2 linked regions of the Lytechinus pictus genome follow. The protein of the gene in region 1 interacts with the protein of each later gene in a pairwise test. Links are inferred from orthologs where the notes say so. Each region holds a gene or a part of one and is shown in the gene's direction. Other genes may lie near its edges.

What was found.
Region 2: the proteins of phosphatidylserine lipase ABHD16A-like (region 1) and reticulophagy regulator 3-like interact in binary tests that used the Homo sapiens proteins (3 or more experiments, as listed by UniProt). The link is inferred for Lytechinus pictus from reciprocal best matches to the Homo sapiens genes ABHD16A and RETREG3.

The regions. Positions count from the first base shown.
Region 1 is NC_087259.1:23,734,605-23,747,322, reverse strand, and holds the start of phosphatidylserine lipase ABHD16A-like, read left to right. Parts: upstream 1-6,285; 5' UTR 6,286-6,379; coding exon 6,380-6,448; intron 6,449-12,718. UniProt on the Homo sapiens protein: Phosphatidylserine (PS) lipase that mediates the hydrolysis of phosphatidylserine to generate lysophosphatidylserine (LPS). LPS constitutes a class of signaling lipids that regulates immunological and neurological processes.
Region 2 is NC_087257.1:20,068,710-20,081,357, reverse strand, and holds the start of reticulophagy regulator 3-like, read left to right. Parts: upstream 1-6,709; 5' UTR 6,710-6,724; coding exon 6,725-6,798; intron 6,799-12,648. UniProt on the Homo sapiens protein: Endoplasmic reticulum (ER)-anchored autophagy regulator which exists in an inactive state under basal conditions but is activated following cellular stress.

The DNA.
Region 1 (12,718 bases):
GGTAAAACTTTACGCCCACAACAAGGTATGTTACAAGGTATGTTAGTATTGCCGAACGTTTTCTTTCTACGGGAAAAGTTGAAAAAACAACAAAATCACTGATGAGCTATTTTTAACCATTAAATTGAGGCATATTTCATGATTTTAAGAATATCTAAAGTCTTTCTTTGAAAAGGTGTTCTATTCGACTGGTCTGTTGTTAGACCAAAAGCTTCAGTCTCTGTATTTTGGTTGTTCTGCTGAACTGCGTTGGCTCACTCACCAATACATAGACTGAAGAGCTTGGAGGCCCGTACGTACAGAGAACATATTAGCAGAAACGTTAGATCTAACATTCGGCGGAAACCTGATTTTCCGATCGTTTTTTTGTACATAAAATGTCACATTATGAAAAAGAAATCACATCCATATTTATGAAAAAAAAATTTAAATTCAGAAATATCGTACCTAAGACCGCAGTTACCGCTAATTCCTTTCAAATGATGAGCGAAACATCGTCATCTTCGATCCTTTCGTTGGTCAACGTAAGTTGCCATCTTTGATGACGTCATCATCCTTACAGACGTATTTACCAGTCGCTATATATCGCGATTTGTGCCGCTGCTTTGCGCTTGTAGATGTGCGTGCGTTCGGAACCTGTCGCTCGCATTGATTGGCCAGGATATCGAAAATTTAATCGGAAAGCCTTGATAAAAGCACAACTCGTTGACGGCTGCCATTTTTTCCTCTCCGGCAGAAAATTTAAAAAATAAGGAATAACCCGGGGAATAACTCATCGGTAACGTATATTTTTGATATTTTATAGAACTTACTTAGTATCAAAAGAAAGATTAGAGTCTAACGAAAATAGTGGGCCTTCGCGTTCAAGATAATATAATGTCATTTATAATCTAAAAGAAATTAAAATCTGGACAAAACCCGTCCTCCGAATTGCCGACCAGATTACACATGCAGGCTCGCACTAACACACTACCGTCGGTGAATGTAGCCAGGCGGCTTCTTGAGAGTAAAAATCATTTACTAACGTAGGCTTACTCTCAATGAAGCCAGGGAGTCCTTCCTATTCACCTACACGAAGGACCCCAAAACCTTAAACTTTTACCCCCGAGATTTCTACTTTCCATCTAAAAGATCTAGCTCTAAATCATGTACATGGGATAAAACTTCATTTCCGACATTTCTACGCTCTCGTTGTTATTTTTAAACAGGAATTCATCAAAAAAATGAAAAAATATTGTGAAAAGACGGAAGAGACTTGCCCGATGTTTACGCCGCCATCTCGTTTCTTATTGTACTTCCCCAACGTTACGGACGAGAGCGTAGAAATGTCGGAAATGAAGTTTTATCCCATGTACATGATTTATGGCTAGATGTTTTAGAAGGAAAGTAGAAATCTCGGGGGCGAAAGTTTCAGGGTTTTTTGCGGTACACGCTGATGAATAGGAAGGACTCCCTGGCTTCATTGAGTAAGCCTACGTTAGTAAATGATTTTTACTCTCAAGAAGCCGCCTGGCTAGGTGAATAGGGATTACAGTAAAATGTCAGAAATTGTTGAATAAATCCCCAGAAACGACGGTTATTCCTGTCTAGTCTATTGAGTGTTGTTTACTTTTTGACAATTCTATTCAATGTTCCCTTGGCCTTACTTCATGTACCGGTACTTAGTTTCATTTGCTTTGCCTTTGGAAAGGTGTTACAAAGTTTTGAGCATGTGAAATTATTTTCTGACGCATATGACTATGATACTGATGGTATCAATATGATGAGCACGTTCGGTAATTACAAGGCCGTCAAATATCACTATACACACACCGGGGCACTCCTAGTACCAATGAGGTCCAAACATTAGCATGTATGGACCTCATAGGCGACAATGCATTAAAAACAGGTTGGAACTTCTAACCGTACTGTTTCCTGCACCCAAGTATGATATTACTCCCAAAATATGAGTTTTGTCCTCGTTTGTTTATCATTTATTAAAAGATTGCCCATTAAATATATTCCTATTCCTAATTTGAATTTAATAAAATAAAGGGAAACTTACATTTGAGTCCTTTTTCGATCTTTTTTTGGCAGTCAGTCCGGTCACCGTCGAGTGCGATCAAAGCAGTATGAAGCTGATTTTCAGATCACGTGATACGTGTGGTCATCACCTGATCGATCGACTATCCTTTTTTAAAGACCGCAACAATTATAAATTTTATTATAAAATATATATAGAATAAATTATTGCATAATGTTATATAGGCCCTATATTTCTACAATTAAAAAATATATTGTGATATAATTTTAATATTTGACGTAAAAATCGCTATTGAACAAAATATTTATTAAAAAATAAAAAATCAAACAAAATAAAAAAGCCTTGGACACAGTGCAAAAAACGTAACGATTTGGCCGCGTTGTTAACAACTATCGTAAGGGGCGCTTTATTTATAAATAAAAAAGAATATGCAGCTGTCTATGGCGACGTGGTTTGTCGCGAGATTTGAGACAAATCGTTGGGAATTCTTGAGAAAATACATCAAAAGAACCGGTGAGTACCGATTAAACATTATTTAAAGTAGTAAATAGATTATACATACCTTGTAAGTTGTAGACTTAGTTTTTAAGGTGATATTAGTGCTTAGTTCTAAGCTAGGGCGGCCCAAACGCGTGTGAGCGGAGTCCCACTTTATTAACACGGGTAAGTATTGCGGTGTCGCCTAGAGTGCACCGGGGCACACACCCACACATTGATGACGCAAATATACCCTACAGGCCCCCTACACAGCTTCACGCGAGTGGGACTGAACCTGAAAAATGACCCGACCAAAAAAGCTAGCTGAGTCATATAGAATAAAAGTTTATGGGCCATTGGTCGATTTCTTGTTCAGTACCCTAGTAACATTCACATTATCAATTCAAGTAGTAAAACAGTAAAGTTAGTTTATTTCAACAGACCTTACCGCGTTCCGAAAGTAGGAATATAGGTACCAGAATTAGAAATGACGGTACATATCGTATAGTCTAGGTCAAAGACCAGGGGCGGTATTCTGAGGTCATTTTATCTTTAAAATATTTTATTTTATCTCTTAAAATGAAATTGGTATTCTGAGATGACATTTTATCTCTCAGATTAGATTTACAATTTTATCTTGCGTATAAATTTTATCTTGCGTATCTATGATGATACGCAACAGAGCTAGCAGTGGCTGCGTAGACATACCCATCGCGTATCTGGCCATTGCAACGCGGGTGATGTGCTTGCGCCCAAGTTACTTTGAAGAAAAAATAAAATAAACTTAAAAGAGGGTAGGGGCTATTTTATCTCCGCGACGTTGATTTCGTCAATATTTTTAAGTGAATTAACTCCAAATGTTGGCATGAAAATTAAGAAAAATTATATATTCATTGAGAACAACACCTTGAAAATATTCCTGTACAATCAGGAAGCATTTCATAAGACTATTCTTGACTAATATTGTCTTTGAAATGATGCTTGAAAAGATGCGATATAGACTTCGAAAAAAAGATGAGAGTATTGCCATTTTTGTTAAAAAGAAATCTCTGTAAAGACGCGCAAGCGTATAGTGCAAGCGTATTGAAGTCAATAAATTGACGCAATCTCACTCCCTTCGCCACACCTCCTAGCGGAATGGATTTCCATTGGTTGAGCGATATGAGAGAGCTATAAAAGCGCGTTTCTAATTGGATATTGATTAAAAAATAGGTGTGTCTTACAGAGATAAAATGAAGATAAAATTGTTCTCAGAATACCAATTCGGAGAGATTTTAAGGGTATTTTATCTCACTGATTTTAACGGAGATAAAATATTTTATTTTATCTGAGATAAAATGGATCTCAGAATACCACCCCATGGCCCTAGGTCTAATTTGACAGAGAAAGTAAGGAAAGTAATAAGCTGGCGCTCTTCCTAAAACCATGCATGGATCCATGCTAAAACTGAGCTGGTTGACTGGCAATTTCATATATGTTCTGTTTGTGCATGTCAATAGAAATTGAGCTTCAGTGATGACGTTTCTCACAGGTTCTCACCCCCCCCCCCCCAAAAAAAAAAAAAAAAGTTTATTTGAATAAATAGGGGGAAAATAAAACAAGCATAACGCTAAAATTTCATCATGAATTAAAGTAAGTCATGATTTTTTTCACAAAATTTACATGCAAATACCCGATGACGTTTTAAAGGGATACTCCAGGCTAAAGATATAAATATATCTAATAAATAGCGTAAAATTCACAAAGCAAAATGCTGAAAATTTCATCAAAATCGAATAACAAAATAATAACGAAGTTATCAAATTTTAAAGATTTGCATTATTCCGGTGGAACAGGCGTTCTAGGCAAGTCTTCATGAATATTCATTAGGTGGGCTCATGACGTGTTTCTTCCGTTTAAAATATACCCCACCATGCAGCTTATAAAACAGGAACCCAATTTACCACACCACTTTCAGTTTTTGGGAGAGTTTCATTTCTCTCGTTTAAACTGGGGAGGTACGTACAGCTAATAAGAGTGATAACACGCAGCAACCAAAGATGACCAGCGGCGGGTGAAGTTGGATCGATTGCAGCTGTCCATCTTACGTAATAATTTTAAGAGCTTCCTAGCTTCCTGGCTGACAAAATCTAGGAATAATTAATTTGTATTCTATTTGTTTAAGGACATTGGCATATCCAAAAACGATTCGAAATTTAGATGAAGATCAAAATGGAAGTTTGAACGATGCAAAATGACCCACAATTGGCGAAACTAGAATAAGTAAAACAAAAGTAGTTCAGGACTATTGCATATGTCTCTCTTCCCTCTCCCTGCCAGTGCTACCAGGCAATGAGGGTCACTTCTCCTGGAGGGGGGGGGGGGGGGCTTACGTCTGGGCGAGTGTGTGTTTGCCAGGATTACCATTCTTGCAAAGGAGGGATGGGCCGTTTGTGATCGGGTTAGGAATTCGAAATTGGGGTGTTAATTGATAACTTTGAATAAGACATTTCCTAATGTGATGATGTCACATCCACGCACTTTCCCCATTTCTTATGTTATTGCATGAAATCATAATTGTTTCATTTTTTCATAAATGTTTAAATGATGTTTCTCCTTTATGATGGGGATAGTGAAAGTGGGGATATGAAATCATCAGCCCACCTTATGAATATTCATGAAGACATGCCGAGAACTGTTTCACCGGAATAATACTCGATCGATCACTCACGATTTTTGTTTTTCCATGTATGAAATTATTTATATGATGAGATTGAAATATTAAAAGTTTAATTCTTATTCTTGTGCGTGTGGAATCGCTTTTGTTGCAACATATTATTTCGTGAAGAGCTGCCTGTCAAATTTGCAAAAAAAGTGAGTGTGCACATCACATCATCATATCTCCAGGATCTCATTCACCTATGTTGTGCACTGTTTTGTAAAATAAAAGGAATTTGGGGTCATTATTTTTTTTATTTTACATGAAATGTTCAGCATATTTTACACTTGCTTGATAGAGATGTACAGTATATATGACCTATATCTTTTATATTTTCTCTTTTTATGCAAATCACCATATTCTGTGACGTACGTCACGTCGAGCGTGAATATAAATGTATGAAATTTATATGAACAGAACACAGAAACATTTTTATCTTTAATTGGGGTGAATTAAGAAAGCTGCAATCATCAAACTGTATGTTTGATATTTAATTGGTAGACGTTGGTATTCAAAGGAAAGAATTGCGATTTAGTAATTAAATTCCCTATAAGTAAAATCATTGATTTATTTTGTATTGAGGGGGGCGGGGCCTTTAGGGTCAGCTAGCCCCCCCCCCCCCCCAAAAAAAAAAAAAAAAAAAAAAAAAACGATATGTTCGATCCACTACCAAGAAAAAAAAAGAGAAAGGGAAAAGAAATTTTAAAAAATGGGGTAAATTATTTTCTCATATATAGCCATATCTAGGCCGAAATAAAACGTTTCCCAGAAAAAAAGGAATGTATTTGCTGCGCAATATAAGGCCACCTGAGGGAAGGGGTCGGTAGCGGCCCCATGATTTTGAAGTGGGCCGAGGCGTACGTGCATTTAATTGCACACCGTATTAAACCAGGGCATATGCATATGGGCCTATATTGGCTCCATTTTTCCTTCCTTTCTTCTCTTCAAAATTTCTGAAGAGAAGGGATCAAGGAGAAGGCAACAGTTCTTATGAGGGAGGGGGGGGGGGTTTACAATTGTGCCGCCCCCATCATGCGTTATGCCCCGGCCCCTCGATCACGTCATCTCGGCCCGGTGCGCGTGCGCCGCACTCCGGTATGCTGTATGTCGCGGCTTCTGAGACGAGGTTAATGAAGTCTGCATTTACAAGCTTTATTTAGGCCCTAAAGCAAGAAGGGAAAATGGCTTCACTACTCCGTGGCATTCTTGGACCGAGGCTGTATAGAGTGAACTCTCATGGAACGATTAAGGTGAAATCTTGTTCTATTTATATATTTATAGGCCTACACGTCTATCGACCAGACACCGGGTCACTGCATTGTCCCACATACTGCGTTCTGTGTTTGTATACCCTATGCCTATGGCTACCTACCTCAGGCCACTCTAGGTAGGGTGTCTGGAGAAAAAAAATATTTTTCTTATTTCAAGAAAATATCACATTTTCTTTGTGAATTTGAAGAGAAATGACCTTCAGACTGACAGAAATGTAAAATTTTTGAAAAAAATCCAATTATTGGCTGCAAAAAAGAAGAATGAAATTAGGTAAATTTTCAGCATTTCTCTGCCATAGTCATAGACTGTGTAGTTAAGAAATGGACACACACAAATCCAAATTTTTTAGCTTCCGAGAGCTGTTATAAATTTATTATTAATGCCAAAAACTTGTCCATAAAGAGTCCAATAGAATTTTTTATGCTCTATCTGATGGTATGATTTTTATAAAGATTTGGAAACCAGATCACAATGAAAAATTGTGACAAAGTGAAAAAAATTGTGCAAAACAGAAATTTCATTTTCCCATAGAAAACGCATGGAGGAATGGCAATCTCAACACACACAAAAATAAGGGTTTGCAATTTATCTCTAAATCCTTATTTAAAATGATCATATAAACTTGTCCTTACTGTCAAAAGAAGCCCCTGAATTTTCTCTTTCCATACATGCCAAACACAAGTTAATAATCAATTCAGATCACATTTTTCTAGTAGCCTGAACTTCCCCGAAAAAATGTGCCATATTTTCCCCTAAATTAGCCTGTTTTATGCTGACACTTTTCAGTGTGGCTTCAGACACCCTACTCTAGGCGCACTCACACAACATGCGAGGTTAGTATTACTAACCTCGCACAACACATGTGATTTCATAGTGCATTTTGACGTTTTCATTCATCACACGAATGTGAGGGACTAAACTACGCCAAGCCTTTCAATATTTGTCCACTATGTTAATCTTGATCGTATTATTTGAAAAAGGAATTCTAAATTATTTATTAAGGTGTTTTTATCGCTTACCTCCAAATCTCAACCAGGATACTTCGTTCGATCCGTCCTTGGTTATCCTCATATTGCGGTGGAAATTACGCAAACAACAATCGAAATGCGAAATTTTCCTATCGAACATTCTCGATTCAAGTCGTAGGGGAGGGAGAAAGGAAAGAAAAGAAGGGAAAGGAAAAAGCGAGAAAGGGAATGGAGGGGGCGGTAAAGGAAAGGAGAGACAATGAAAGACAGATCAGGGGAGGGGGAAAGGTAAAGGAGAGAGAGGGAAAAGGAGACCATAAAATAGAAAGAAAACAAAAGAAAGGAAGAGGGGAAGGGAGAGGGAAAGAAAAATGGAAAGAGCAAGAAAAGAGTAGGGGAGGGAGAAAGGAAATAAAAGAAGGGAAAGGAAAAGCGAAAAAGGGAAGGGAAAGGGAGAGAAGAAAAGAAGGGAGAACGAAAATGGGGAAAGGGAGAAGGAGAGGGGATGATGAAGGGGATAGGAAAATGTCAAGTTTGAAGATCTGAATATTAACACTAAAACAAAATTAGACTCCCATGTTTTATTTATAGAAATACCATCTTTTTCATGATTAAATAAAGGTTCAACGTCCCTGTTCTAGGTCTAAACTTCAACATAAATCTACTGGCGCTTCGCGCTTGAATTCTGGAGGTCATTCCTCTTTTAAAAGTATAGGTAATCTGTCGGACTTTTCAAATCCCAAATTTAAATCTTAAGCGCAAATGCCCTCGCATTATTTTTCATTTAGATACAGTCCTGTCATCAATATCAAAAACTCTATAAGCGCGAGCTTCGCGCTGGCATCATTTTTGTAAGTGACATTTATGATGTTGTTCATATTTTAAAAATGTCCATTTGTTGAGGTTTAAATGTCCAAAAGTTCAGCGCTCGCATAATTTGTAAGGTAAATAGGCCTACCCTTTTAATTGTTATACAAAGGCGCTTATACAACGTCCAGAATGCAGTTCGGAATATTGAAAATAACTATTGGTCCCGCTATTTCTGCCCGTGCGACAAGCATTTATCATTTTGAATCATGAGATTCACCTTTAAAATATGATGAAAAAGTATCGTTAAGACTGAATTAAGAAAAAAAGAAGCTCACGTTTCACGCTCGCATTTTGATCCGTTAGCTTGTGATAATAATGATGACTTCGTTAATATATCTTAGCGGACATGTCCACCTTTTGGTGCTTCAAGAAAAATAAACACAACACACGAATAATAATAGAAAACGAACAAGGATAGAATAGATAGTTACCTATCCCACTCATGAATTCTTATTTAACAGTCCGCAAAACGTCTTTTTTTCGTGTTAGCTTATTTCATATACATACATATATATATATGTATATATAGGTCTCCTCATCATGGTTATAAAAAGTGCTCAGAATGTTTTATTTTCAAGTCCTTGTATCAGAATTTTCAGCTCGGGCAGCTCTATCGCATTTTGATTACTATCCTGTTGATTTATTTACTTGAACAAAATATTTAAAATGTCCAGCTTTTAGAACAGATATAAAAAAAAGGTATTCACCTTTGATCATAGATGAGGAAGAAGAAAAAAGTGCAAAAAAATAGGAAACAAACTAACGAATTAATGTGACATAATTTTTCTTCATTTCAAGGCGACTCTTTACATTTCATCATCGCTGATGGCGCTACAATAGAAAATACCGCTTGACAGCAAAAAAAAAACAGAAAGAGGAAAATAATGCTGAGCGTCTAAAATGCAGCTAGCAGTACAAGCTGCAGAACCGTAAACAAACATCTTGTGAATAATATCGCGCGCCCTCTTTAAGCAAAAGTTTACAACCACGATTACCCTGCGGTATCTACGTGAAGATCACGAGAAAATGCTTTTTTTTTCTTAAAAACACACCAAAGAGAAGAAGAGAAACGATCCATATGGTTCGGTAAGTGTCATAGCACAATTAGAAACATTATTTTAAAAGCAATGGCATAGTTATTTTAGTAAAAAGGGTGTGAAAATTTGCGTGCACATGTGCATATGAATCCTTCGCACGCGAGATGCATTGATCCCATGAGTGCTCTAGGCGACACCGCAATACTTACCCGTGTTAATAAAGTGGGACTCCGCTCACGCGCGTTTGGGCCTCCCTAGCTTAGAACTAAGCACTAATATCACCTTAAAAACTAAATCTACAAGGTATGTATAATCTATTTAGTAATTTGTTAATGTTTAAACGGTACTCACCTGTTCTTTTGATGTATTTTCTCCAGAATTCCCACGGATTTGTCCCAAATCTTGCGACAAACCACGTTGCGGTAGACAGCTGTACATTTTTTTTTATTTATGAATAAAGCGCCCCTTACGATAGTTGTTAACAACGCGGCCAAATCGTTAGGTTTTTTGCACTGTGTCCAAGGCTTTTTTATTTTGTTTGATTTTTTATTTTTTAATAAATATTTTGTTCAATAGCGATTTTTACGTCAAATATTAAATTTATATCACAAAATATTTTTTAATTGTAGAAATATACATAATATTATGCAATAATTTATTCTATATATATTTTATAATAAAATTTATAATTGTTGCGGTCTTTAAAAAAGGATAGTCGATTGATCAGGTGATGACCACACGTATCACGTGATCTGAAAATCAGCTTCATACCGCTTTGATCGCACTCGACGGTGACCGGACTGACTGCCCAAAAAAGATCGAAAAATGACTCAAATGTAAGTTTCCCTTTATTTTATTAAATTCAAATTAGGAATAGGAATATATTTAATGGGCAATCTTTTAATAAATGATAAACAAACGAGGACAAAACTCATATTTTGGGAGTAATATCATACTTGGGTGCAGGAAACAGTACGGTTAGGAGTTCTAACCTGTTTTTAACGCATTGTCGCCTATGAGGTCCATACATGCTAATGTTTGGACCTCATTGGTACTAGGAGTGCCTCAGGCGATGTTCGTGCAGGCTCCACTCTACTTCACTACCGCTACACTACGCTCCACCTACCCGAACATCGGGACCGTGAACCATGTCGGATATACCGAGTCACAAAGGTGGGATGGCAATCATGATAATCGTAAAAATTAAACAAAAAAAATATAACGAAAAAGATGATTGACTTAATATCTATTCTTAGTCTTACTCTACACTCGTATTTCACTCCGTTTCCATCCTCCGGTTATCCTCAAAATTTGTGATTTTGGGCCAGTATCTTTCTCCTCACACGTATTATTCACAGCCGATTTCAAATCATCGCATGCGATCGCGATCGGTTTGACCTGCGACCGATCGCGATCGCATGCGATGATTTGAAATCGGCCGTGAATAATACGTGTGAGGAGAAAGATACTGGCAATTACTGGCCCAAAATCACAAATTTTGAGGATAACCGGAGGATGGACACGGAGTGAAATACGGGTGTAGAGTAAGATATTAAGTAATTCATATCCCTCGTTATATTTTTTTTGTTTAATTTTTACAATAACCATGATTGCTATCCCACCTTTTATGACTCGGAATATCCGATCAAGTTCACTGTCCCGATGTTCGGGTAGGTGGAGCGTAGTGTAGCGGTAGTGAAGTGGAGTGGAGCCTGCACGAACATCGCCTGAGGTAATGGCTACCTCAATTTGCTCAAGCGATGTTCGTGCTACTGCTAGACAGCTGGCACTGGCAGCCGTCTGTTTAGGAGTTTTTTAACATTTTTAATTTTATTCTAATTTCTCCTCGTACACAGATGGCTCGCTATCGTGCAGCCACCATGATTAGGGGTTTAACAATGCAAATTCCCCGACGGGGCTCATCGATTTTTGTCTTTATTTCATAAAAATATATAAAAAGAACTACCAAAATAAAGTAAAGTCAAAAAGATTATTATTCTGTTTTGGCCTGAAATTCACCAAAATGGGGAAAAATAAACTTAAAAGGGGAAAAAACAGTGACTTCGGCTGTCGCGCAAGTTCACTTCCCTGTTTTATCCGAACTTAATACATAAACATATATGGCCATTGAGTCCCCTGTAAGCTGTACAGATCGTTGGCTGTTCCGCTGAACTCTGTTGGCTTTACTCACCAAATACAGAGACCAAAGTTCTAGCTCGATCTGTACAGGGACTCAATGGCCCTATGTTTATGTATTAAGTTCGGATAAAACAGGGAAGTGAAGTTGTGCAACAGCCGAAGTAAGTCACTGTTTTTTCCCCTTTTAAGTTTATTTTTCCTTGTTTTGGTGCATTTCAGGCCAAAACAGAATAATAATCTTTATTTTGGTACAGTTCTTTTTGTATATTTTTATGAAATAAAAACAAAAGTTGATGAGCTCTGTCGGGGGGATTTTGCAATCTTAACCCCTAATGGTGGCTGCACGATAGCGAGCCGTCTGTGTACAAGGAGAAATAAAAAATAAAAAAATGTTAAACTTATAAAACTCCTCGAAACAGACGGCTGCCAGCTGTCTATGCATAACCATAATCTGTTAATTCACACAGGCTCCCAACTTGGGCGTCGTGCACAGGAAAGTACAAAGCACAATACCCGCAAAACTTCCATGGAATTTGTTATTATTTAGACACTAGATTACAAACTGTTATTAACTTTAATCACTCAAGGGTTCATGACCATCTAACCCTAGCCTTGAGGACTCCATGTCGATGATGATATTTTAAAATATTTTGACATGATATACTTCTTCATCATGGAGCTTTGAACCGCCTCCCATATATGTATAAGAGACACATCAAAACAAAGATGGATTTCCCTAGGAAATCAATTTTTGTAGATAGAAATCATGAAAGTGTTTGTGATTTTATTTATTTTTACACCTTCATACGCCTAATGCATATGAAGGTTAAAAAAATTGGTTAATAAAAAGGTGAAAAATTGAAGGTTTCTTACCAGACCGATCTCGTGTAAATCCCTTGATCCGTTTGTCAACAAAGCAAATACAATAGGTCTGACCCTTGAACCGCTTCGTTATGACGTACTTTCGATTAGCGATGTTACAAAATGCCGTTTCGAAGAACAATTTATAGATAAAAATTATTATTTAACAAATACTAAAAATTAATACGTGATTATGAATAATTATTATTATTATAATAATTATACCTTGAACGAAGCCCGCAGTGCTACCGTTCGTTTGTCAATAAACGTTCCACCAAAGTCTTGACAGTAAAAAGATTGGACAACACTTTACCGACTTCGCGTAACGCTTTGCATCTATTTTTTCTATCTGAATATTCATGACAATGTGCAT
Region 2 (12,648 bases), on another chromosome or scaffold:
GGCATAGCTACTTTGTTTTTAAAAATATTTAGGAGTAACTTGACAAATTAACAAAATATGTAACAGCACCACGCTTTTTTGGTGGGCGACCTCATGATACATGGCCATAGAGTAACACGTAGTAAGGCAAGGTTAGGTGATGCACGCAAAAGCAAGGTAAATCTTGGTTAAACAAATTAGTAAAGCTGCATCTGCTTGTGTAATCTACTCATTTTTGCTCGTCCTTGCGATTGCTTGTTACTACTTATCCAATACGCAACTGATTGCAAGCCCGGGGTCCGTTGCAGAAAGAGTTGCGTTTAACACAAGTAAATAAAACTTAATCAATCGCAAGTCCCAATTGCGCGCTATTGATTGGTTGAAAATCAAGTTACGCATGATTTTTAGAGTTGGGATTGATTGTAACTAATTCTGCAACGGGCCCCTGGGGTTTGAGCCAGGCTTTTTAAGGATGTTTAGAAGTACCTCTGGTTTATTAAAGTCTGGAGATAAAGCCAAGCTACTCCTTATGAAATGTCTTTTATCTATAACAACCATTGTCAAATTTTTATCATTTTATAATAATGACTTATAATTTTTATTTCTTCATATTTTGTAGAAAACCCCAGAATTGTTTTGGATGAGGGGTTATGGAGGTGGATTGTGAACTTAAACCTTAGTTTTATACATGAGATATTTAATAGAAATATATTTGAATTAATTATGTTTCATCTTCATGATGTATCAAGTTTGACTAATATCACTATATCTTACAATTGTGATATTACCTACATTATGATACTTGATTTGCCTCTAAATGCAATTGAATTTGAATTTATATTAATGAAATAATTATTTGGATTTGTACTTGTGTGTAACTGAAAATAGCCATTAGTGACATCAGAATATTACAAGTCTTTAAATGATTGTATATTGTAATAGTTTGATTTCCACTATCTTGGATCTTGATTCTTACACGTACCTGCCATTTTGGCAAGCATAATATATATCGAGTCTTTCAATAATTTCAGGTGGCCTGAATTTAACAACTCTTTGATTCCTTATTCATATTCACAGAGAATGAATTATTCTGCTAATTTTGTATTTAAGATCATATGTTATTTTGATATATATGTATATGTGAAGTTATGTGTGCAGTACATTATGGCAACGCTGATATTTCACATTAGAACAACTGTGCTTGGTACTTACTCACCTTAAAATGGGTTTAAATTCTCTGAAGTAATCTCAATTGATATTTCGGTAAGTTATTAAGAAGAAAAATTATGCATCTTCATCCTGCAATAGAATACATGCCTTTTACGGTTCTCCAATCGCAAGGTATAATGGAATTGAATTCTAGTACATTACGACTTGAGCAAAACATGTATAGTCTCACATCAAGCAGTCTCTTTCCTTGTACATTACTTTTTTTATCGAAATCCTTGGATAAATTAAATAATTATTTGCCAAGAAATGAGTATACAAACAACCTGAAAATAGTGGTGTTAAACTGATCAAAACAACACAAAAAGTTTGGTCGTTATTTCTTTGTTTCTATGATTATGTGTTTGTTATGATCATTGTGTTATGAACTTCAATACAAGAGCCATTCATGAACTTAGGTTAATATCAGGAAACTTACATATTGTATTAACAAAGCTGATTTTTATAACTTTTCTGTTTCAAATTGAAAATTTCTACATCAACAAGCATAATCATGTAGTCTCTAATAAGTTACTTTCAACAAAACACTTGTCACAAGTTTACCTTTTAAATCCAAAAAAGTTTACTCAAGTGGGATTCCTATGTCCCGTGAATATCATCAAGTAGATGAACAAAAATCAGCATTGGATACTGTACTTGCACATTTAAGTAGATAAGATGACATACTAGATTTTTTGCAATAAGTTTTTACATGTATATTGTGGGTTTTTGTTATTATAAATCATTTGTCGTTTCTCACAGCATCTTGTCTGTGATTTTCACTTGCAACCAATGAGATGTAAGAATGTCAATTGTCACTGAATATCCTAGTTGGTTTTCACAAAGAGTTAAGTATGACTTAAAGTCATGCTTACAGTGCTGACGCGCACATGATTATTGAACATGCAATCTTATCGATTTTTACGCGGTAGTTCGCGTCCTCTTAAGCATGATATGACCAATGTGGTGATAGTGCAACTCTAAGGGGGTGTTGTAAGAAAATATTTGCGATCAATTGCAAATATTCTGTTGCAATTATACAACTGATAGATCAATGTTAGCTGTAGCAAATCATATTAAACTTCTTGTTTCAAGGAGCAGATTAGCAATCAATCACTATTTTGCTATTAACTGCAAGACATATCATTGATTGAGAGACCAAAAATAGACTTGCAATTGATCGCAAGTTTCTTGCAACACCCCAGAAGTCATACATATTTCTTTGTGAAACACCCCTTGACAGATTTCTTCATAAAAGGCTCCTAACTTAGTACACTATCTTGTTTTCATATTTTAGACAAAAAGTCTTTGTAATTCTGCTCTAGAGTATAGGTTTATGTCTGTATGTTATTTGCAACTGGTTGTATCCGCAAGAAGTGGAAATATTTTGAATGAAAACTCTCAGGTATCTATATTCGCAAAGGTAATATTGGCTATGTAGATATTTAGAAATTGTTTGTAAATTATGCTTATGATGCCTTGCATTTTAAGATAAGGGTCAGTAGTAATGGGGAAAAAAAGAAAATTTGATAAAGAACTTACGAAAAAAATGTTTCTTGTGGTCTGACTTCCATTAAAAGAATCAAGATGATCAATGATTTGGGTGTGACTTTTCTATGATATAAGTTATTATTATTTGATTAAGACTGGCTTGCTCACTTGCCATAAATAACAATGAGGCACCACCAAAAGTCACTCCTAGAATCAATGCGATTTCTGCTATTATGCAACATGAAAAATTGATGTATTCCTTTATTTTGGAGTTGTTGGTAACAAACAGCTATATAAAACAGTCATCAGTACCCCGTCTTACAAAGAGTTGTGATTGAACCGATCAGTCACAACTATGGACGGCCAGCAATGTCAACATCTATTATGCATGTTTGTTCAAAATATTTTCTAACTATGATGCATTCATTGTTTTCTTGAAAATTCACTGTGCTTCTCTTTGTTTACAAAGGACATCGTGCAAATTTCCTGTAAAAAAAAATTATGAAACTGATGGATTTCCATAGAGTTACGATTGATTGGATCAATCGTAACTCTTTGTAAGACGGGGCCCTGGGCAGCATAACACAGTGCTACCGATTATATAATCATTAACCTTTGTGTTTAGGGGGCCCAGGTCTGAAAAATGCCCTGACGCAAGACGATTATTTGACTTATGGAAGGTTGACTTGGACAGAGTTCACTGTACTATTTTGCTTAATCATGAGTAGAAATTATATTAGTATTCAGTGAGAATGCGCCTTTGGTAATTATACCGAATGATTATGTTCATATATTTTTTCTTAACTTCAGGTGTTTAGAGGTGATTCGTTTATCAGTACTTTCTTAAATGACTTTTTTTCTCTCTCTCTTGGAATGACATTAATAAATCTTTTTCAGATAAAAAAAATAATGTGTGTGCCTGGTGGTAGTGATTTTAGGAAGTATTTTCATCATTGTCCACTTAGTATGTATTCTCCATTGCTTGATATTTGCCAGAGAAAGAGAGAGAGAGTGTGAGAGAGAGGGGGAGAGAGGGAGATGAGCAAGAAGAGGGGTTCAGACGTAGAGAGAAGACAGGCAAGAGATTTATAGAGAACAGAAGGGGAAGACTAGAAAGAAGAAGAAGGAAAGAGAGCAAAAGATAGTATTCAGAATCAAATGCGGCATTGCAAATTAGTTACAATTTGTTCTTAATTCTGTTCTTCCTTTTACCTTCCCCCTTCCTCCCCCTTTTTCCTTTTTCCCCCTCTTTTTCACAACCTTTTCACTTTTCACAACCTACTGCCTTAATCTGCAACATTGGATAAGTACTAGCCAGTGAATTCGGATTTTCCGGGGGGTGGGGGTTTAAAACAATTTGAGGGTGAATTTGCCTCAAACCCCCATATTTTTCCCTGGATTTATTATTTTGAACCTTCTAGATCTCCATATTTTCATTTCAATTTGGGGTGGCTGTCACAAAAGGAACTCTTCCCCACATGAATTTCTTACTTTGAAATCTGCCTTTCGTAGTAAAAGAAAGGAAATGCCATTATAACAAACTTGCCCATGAGGTAAGTCCATGCAGTGGTCAGTTAGTAGATTAAATCAGGGTCTGTGCCTGCAGACTAGTTTTTTGTGGCCGAACTTTTTTCCCTGACGTCTGACGTCATATCATAACAAACGTTAAATGGCAAAATGGACGGGGATGACAATTTCGCAAGAGCCGGGACTTCTGGGGTCCCTTGTGCCCTTCCTGAAGATAAAATGAAGGAATTGGAGAGAGAATCTATAACAAGGGCTAGAGAGGAACGTCTTAAGAGCATTTTGAGCCCAGTAGAAGGTCTGGTGATGAATATTCAAAGTCTTTTGGTGTGGGAAAACACGCAACCAAGCGCTGTTCTGTTCGTGTGTGTGAACATCGTGTTTTGGTGAGTAACGTTAGTGCAGTGCAGTTGGTGAATTCGCTCATGTGCAACTACGGTAAACATATCTAGCCAGGCGGCTTCTAGAGAGTAAAAATCATTTACTAACGTAAGGTCACTCTCATGAAGCCAGGGCTTCCGTCATATACTTTTGTGTGTACCACCAAAAAACCTGAAACTTTCGCCCCCGAGATTTCTACTTTCTTTCTAAAAGAGCTAGCCCTAAAATAAATCATGTACATGGGATAAAACTTCATTTCCGACATTTCTACGCTCTCGTTGTTATTTTTGAACAAGAATTCATCAAAAAAATGAGAGAAATATTGTGTAAAGACGGAAGAGACGGGTAACGTTGGGGAAGAACAATAGAAAACAAGATGGCGGCGTAAACATCGGGCAAGTCTCTTCCGTCTTTACACAATATTTCTCTCATTTTTTTGATGAATTCTTGTTCAAAAATAACAACGAGAGCGTAGAAATGTCGGAAATGAAGTTTTATCCCATGTACATGATTTAGGGCTAGATCTTTTAGTAATGTTGTAAATCGGATCAAAAATCAGATCGAAAATCGGATCGGCAGTTAAGCTTCTAAAATCGAAATCGAATCGAAAATCGAATCGGCGATGTTTAGAAACAAAGGAATACATCATCATTTTGTTCGCGGTCGCGCGCATCTTCCTGACAAAGTCACAAAGACGAATGTTTAGGAATGGAAGTCGTTGACATGCGCGATCGTTTGGAACATGCTTTTAAAGGGTTTTGAGGCTTACCGTAACTGCTTTACAATAAAATGAGTTATTTTTATTAGAAAGATAACGAATGACGCATCTTCCGAGCAAAGTCGCAAAGGAAAATAATTCTCGTAGATCACAGGTCAATGAACGATCGGCGGGACATCTTTTATAAGTATTTTTATGTGAAGCTGAGCTCAGCTAAGTTCGCTCATTATAATATGTGATTACAGCCACGCCCAATAACCATTCCAAAGTACACCTATTTTGTTATAATAGCTTACTTGGTACATCAGTTCTGGGAAAAGTTAAGTCACGCCTCACTATCGATCTTTTTGTATACCCACCCACTCAACAATATCAGTGAATTACGCAATGCGTGCAAGCATTCACACAATACAAGTATAGTTTTGAGGCATAGCCGAGAATTGGAACCGCCCAGACTCAACGGGCTAGCGCAAAGTTCTTTACACTACCTTTTGGCATGTGCACGTGGTGGATTTGATTGACACTGTACGTTAACAGTGCTATTCTTTGAGTTGGCTCACTGGCTGGATTAATGACAATATATCATCGCAAGTATGGCTTACATGATACATACAACAGGCAACACATCCATACACACTGCTCTCAAACTCCCTTGCTATTATTCGTACCTAGGCCGTGTGTGCACTTATGGGCGGGATTTAAGCAGGGCATTGACTAGCATATACAACACATCCATGCACCCCAGCATTTATATACATTTCTCAAACTCCCTTGCTATTCATCCATTGTGTGAACTCATGGGCGGGATTATGACAAAAATTAGTGCAAGCACTAGCATACACAATACATACAATACATTCCTGCACCCATGCAGTCACATACAGCTCTCAAACTCCATTGCTATTGGCCATTGTATTCACTTATGGGCGGGATTTATCAGCATAAGCACTAGCATACATAATGCATACAACACATTCATGCACCCATGCAGTCACATACAGCTCTCAAACTCCATTGCTATTGGCCATTGTATTCACTTATGGGCGGGATTTATCAGCGTAAGCACTAGCATACATAATGCATACAACACATTCATGCACCCATGCAGTCACATACAGCTCTCAAACTCCATTGCTATTGGCCATTGTATTCACTTATGGGCGGGATTTATCAGCGTAAGCACTAGCATACATAATGCATACAACACATTCATGCACCCATGCAGTCACATACAGCTCTCAAACTCCATTGCTATTGGCCATTGCATTCACTCATGGGCGGGATTTATCAGCGTAAGCACGAGCATACATAATGCATACAACACATTCATGCACCCATGCAGTCACATACAGCTCTCAAACTCCATTGCTATTGGCCATTGTGTGCACTCATGGGCGGGATAAATGACAAACACAGTACAAGTACATGTTCCTTGTTTGTATTGTACAATACATTCATTCCAAGTTCCACTCCCACCATACCATTCAGCGCAGCTACCGGTAGGTCATCATAAGTAGGTCAACCTTTTATGAGTCATTTCTGACATTCCAGGAATCTGATTGTTCGAACTATTCGATTGTTAAAAAGCTCTAAATAGCTAGCACCTCCGCAAGGACAATCTTAAAATATGTTCTGACCGCACTGTAATTAGATCTACAGGTATGCCGATTTTTTTATCCGATTTTTTCCTTCAAGGGGCATGATCGAAGATCGGCAAGTGATCGCCGATTGTTGTGAAATCGAATGGAATCGGTTGCCGATTGCAAAATCGGTTACAAGCTTATCTTTTAGAAAGAAAGTAGAAATCTCGGGGGCGAAAGTTTCAGGTTTTTTGGTGCTACACACAAAAGTATATGATGGAAGCCCTGGCTTCATGAGAGTGACCTTACGTTAGTAAATGATTTTTACTCTCTAGAAGCCGCCTGGCTACACATATCAAGGAATCGTGGGCGCTAATGCAGTTTTGCACCCGCTGACTTCGAGAGAATTCCCTCACCAGTGCCACTACCAGTAAATGTCCATAAATGGCATAGCAAGACTCTCAATCAAATTTCAAGGACAAGTCAAAATAATGCCCACTCTTTTTCCGAATATCACGATTAGATCTCTACTCTAGTCTGCCGGCTCAATCGATCTCGAGGTGTCATTGACAATGCAAATGCTCAGTCGTGACGTTGATCATGTTGATTCATCAGACTCATCTCAGAGTTGGCCATGTTGGCTTGCTTGGCTTCGCCGTCGTTAATTTATGGACTGAAGTATATGATCAAATGTTCTGCCTGCGGCAGCTCACCCTTTTTTGTTCGCCATATGTTCCCATGATTTTGGCTGCCAATCTTCATTCCATAATATAAAACTTACTGCGAATCCAAGTGAAGCGAAATCTGACTGCATGAGTATTCGAACGGTGATGAGATCAAAGCCAAAATACAGTCGTTCTGAATCGTGATATTTGGAAAAGCTGTGGGTATATTGACCTTGAACTGTAATTGAGAGACTTGCTATGACATTTGCAAGCAGCCAATGGTGTGAAATTTGCTTGAAGTCGGCCGGTGCGAAACTGCATTAGCGCCGCAATGGCAATATCACCTTTTTGTTATGTTGTTTGTGGGTGCTAAATGCAGTTTTTGTTTGTCCTACTCTGAGCAAATTTCCCCAAGTAATTGTTCGCAACTGTCATAGCAAGTCTCTAAATCACATTTGAAGGTCAATAGTATACCCACTGATTTTCTGAACATTGCGATCGGCTCGATGTCGTTGCATTTGTGAATTTTCATTAAGACATCGTTTTGCTTTGGCTTTTTGCATGCTTTGCTTCACTTTAGATTTTGTATGGACTAAAATTGGCAACCCAAAAATCTGCCAGCAGCAGCTCACCCGTTTGTTCACCACATGGTAGAATGATTTTGGTCACTAACTTCACTTGGTCCATATCAAAATTACGGCGAAGCCAAGTGAAGCGATGTCTGACTGAGAATTTGAACGATGACATCGAGATCAAAGCCAAAATACAGCTGTTCATGATCGTGATATTCAGAAAAAAAGTGGGCATAAATGACCTTAAAAAGCGATCGTTTTTGGCGAGGGGTTATGGAGGTGGATTGTGAACTTAAACTTTAAGTTTGTATGATATATTTAAGATAGCCTGATCAGTGGGATATCTTGTAGGATTAGGAAATCCACAGAATATAAAAAATTTGTTGAACCCACCCGATCCCCACTTCAAACGGCTGTTTAAAGGACTTGAACCAATACATCTGTCATAATAAGTCACCAGAGTTTGTGGTGGAAGTAGCGAGGCAACCAACACGTGTACACGATGACATTATAGGTCTCCTGATTTGAAAGACTGAGAATATATTGCAAGCGCAACAAGAATGGGCCGTAAATTTGTGGAGGGGGGGGGATCGGTCCTTAAAAAACATGTGCGCGCTAAACATAGACAATATACATGTATGTGCAAAAACATGCCTGTAAATGAGCATGATGGAAATTGTTCATTCATTGGTTGATGAATATACAGCCATTAGTAGAATCGGAGTCAAATCTAAAAATTTGATGCTAATCTGGATTTTCGGAGACGAACATTAGGTCACACTTATGATTATTTTCGCAGGTACAATTGCATTTAAAAAATAGGTGATGATAAAGGATATAATCCATCCAGAGGCATGCTTACCTTTTATTTTTTAACGCAACAATATAGAGGACATTGTTTAGGATCTTTTCATAGGTCCATAGTTGTAAAGAAAGATCCAGGGTGCTACATAACTTTTTAGAAGCACTTTAGTCGGGCAAGTGAATTTCTAAATAGTTGGAAAATACTTGCCCGAAAATACATTTCACTTGTCCGAAAAAAAATCCTTCAAAATAATGTTTTACCGCTGCAAAAGAGAGTAATATGGTTTTATATACCATTGCCCCTTTCCTCTCTTTAGACGTGAACTATTGTACTCTGTAATTTTTTTTTCAAGGAAGGAAGAAAGAAAGAAAGAAAGATAAAGGGAAGGTGAAAGAATGGGTGAAGGAAAAATTGAAGGAGAGAAAAAATGAAAAACAAGAGGTGAATGGAGAAAAAAGAAAGAATAAAGGAAAGAAAAAAAGGTTTTCCTTCATTCTTTGAATTAATAAAGAAAAGAACAGGAAAGGAAGGGAAAATGAATTATTGGGTGAAAGAAAGAATGGAAAGAAATAAAAAAGGGGGAAAGAAAGTAAGAAAAAGGAATGAAAGAGAGAATGAAGGAAAAAAGATTTCCTTCATTTTTTTAAAGAAAGAAAGAAGGAAGGAAGGACGGACGGAAAGAAAGAAAGAAAGGGGAAAACGGGAAGGAAATAGCAAAAAAGGAGAGAATGAATAAGGAAAAAGAGAAGGAAAGAAGAAAATAAAGATTGAAAGAAAGGATGAAAAGAATGAAGTGAAGAGAGAATAAAAAAAAAGAAAAATAATGGAAGAAGGAAGGAAAGAAAGAAAAAAAGGAAAAGGTCAGGAAGGGGGAAGGAAGCAAAGAAAAAATAGAGAAAAGAAAAAAATGAAGAAATTTTAAAAAAGAAGGAAAGTACATATGTAAGAAAATGAAGGAAAGAAAAAAAATGAACAGAGAGAGAAAAAAGATCAGGAAAGAAAGCTAGGAAAGATGGAAAAGAAAGATAGATGGAACAAAAAAGGCAAGCGGGAGAGATAGAAGAAAGGATAGAAAGAGAGAAAGAAAGAAAGGAAGGAAGAAAGAAAGAAAGAAAAAAGGAAGGAAGGTAGCAAGTAAGGATTACTTACGGAAGGAAGGAAGAAAAAGAAAGAGGAAGAAAGCTCAAATTTGAAACAAAACAAAAAATGCAATCATCTAACAAAAATCTTGCTGATATTTGTTTAAAATATATTTTGAAAATTGTTGGAAAAATAAACGTTTTAGAAATGAATAAAATTTCACAGAGAAACATTGACAAATTTAAAAATCAAATGAATCATTGCGGCATCGTGGACTTGCACGCATCTTTCTTCCCACTACACCGATCACAACAACACTCAAAACAACGGCTGAAACTAGTAATGAAAACTCAATAACTTGCTCCTCCGATCACATCACCAAATCAGTAATCTGAGAATCCATATAAGTATAAAAAAATTCCTGCCGATTTTGTGATTATTTTGTTGGAAAATCTATTTTTCATGTGAGCTTGTTCACTTTGGCTTGCAATTTGAATGGAGGGATGTTGTTAACTTTGTTTTTTTCTCTCTCTCTTCTTTATTTTTGCATGTGAAGTATGGGGAAACTTTGTAAAATTTCATTTCACAGTGAGAATTTCGGGCAAGTATTTTTTGTCTTTACTTCAAAACACTTGCCCGACTCTAACTTTTACTTGCCCCGGGCAATCGGGCAAGCGCTTACATGTATGTCGCACCCTGATTCAGGGACATGCATGTTATCATAATGGTAGCATTATTAAGTTCATACTGTAGGTGTTTAAAAAGGGAAGAAGATATATATCTTCAAGATTCCCTTTTTGGAAAGGCCCAAACCAAGGCAAAGAGTCTCTCATCCCGTGCCGGTCTTCTGTTCCCAGTGCAGTGGGACGTGTTCATCGATTTCTTCGCAACATTTGGCATCTTTGCATTGCATATTTGTGATGTGTCATTATACATGTACATGTAATAGTATGGTATGTACAGTACAAGTAGCCAGACAATATTTTATTTTTTAAAAACAGTATGCAATATGCATGTATTTTTTTGTATCGAATAGTTTTATCTTTGTGAGATTGCTGTTGTTGGGAGAGCATGCATGCATGCATTGGACACCTAATGTACAATATTCCCTCCCCCGACCCCAATCTCAAGGTAACCTCTGTGTGCTGAAATAAAATTGGCAATGTTTTAGGTTACTTGCTCTTGATCTAGTGGATAAATGCTCAAATTTAGGCACAGTTACATTAGTTTCTACAGCAATTATTCATCTTGGCACAAAACTAGTCAATTATTATTTTTTCATAGATAAAAAGGGAGTTTGACATTTTTTTCTTTTTTTTACTTTCCATCAGTAGAGGGCATCACAAAGTAAATGCTGAAAATTGTAGATTTTGTGCGCTCAGGGAATGCAAAATAATAATTCCCAAGATTATGATGTCTGATGACTAAAATTATAAATGAAGAATAGTATTTTATTTGGAGTATGTGTTGCATTGATTCAAGTCAGTCAACACAGACAGGGTGGTTGCAGCAAACTGCAAGGGCCCCCCCCCAAAACGTCCCCAAAAAGAAAAAAAAAGGGAAAAAAGAGAAGAGAAAAGGAAAAGCGAAAGAAGGAAAGGGAAGAAAGGTAGCTTTGTGGGTTTTTCTTTTTTATTTTATTTTTTTTCTTAAAAAGAAACTCCTTCACTCTTGCTCTAAATTTATATACAAGGATTTTGCTTCCGCGCTGCGCGCGGTTAAATGATATTGCAGTTCCCCTTTGTTTCCCTCACCACTTCTCTAACCCTGTTTTTCTATTTTAGTTATACGTGTTTCTTGCCAGTTAAAGTTCAAATATATATATTAGGGCATGGAATTAGAGTAAGGATAGTCCGAAGTATATGAAGTTATTTTTTTTTTATTGGTCGCGCAACTTCTGGTCGGGTCGGCTCCGGGCGGGTAAAATCTTTATATCATTTTATGCCGTCACCTCCATATAGGCAACTTATCCCGCTTTTCAGCTCATTACTAAATAATCATAATTTGGGGCAAACAGGTTCCTAATTTAAAAAGAGGAAGGTATAAAATATTTGTGTTGTATTAAATAAGAAGAGTACAATATTTTTTATCAAATTCTACTCAACTTCATGTCATTTCCCTACACATTAATCTCCTGTCCTATTTTGCACCCTAAGCTTGAAATTTTGAATGACACTTAAATTTCTTTATCATTAAAAATGAAGCGCATCAGGATAATTATACATCATCCTGTTTTATATAATTTTAATAAATCACAAAAGTTTCAACTCTTTGCGCACAATTTTTCCTTGTAATGAAGTTCAATAATCTAAGAGGAAAAACAACTGAATTAGATGGGGGTATTAGAGATATCTGCATTTGACGAAACGTCCGCCCTTTGAAATTTCAGAGTTTCATTGCTCTGCGCGGGGAGGAATATCTTCCTCCCGGCATATATCCTTCTCCTCTGTTTTGCGAGTTAAAGATATGCACTGTCGCTAAATTGTTGGTAACCAAATCTGATCTTTCCAAAGGAAGTATTCAATATAACTTAGAGAATACCCTTTTCTCGGGACACTTTTCTTTGCAAAAAAATTGATAAAACACTTTCGCTTCTGCGCTTTGCGCGGTGTTAATTTCCTCCATTTTATCCCTTTTTTGTGCGTTC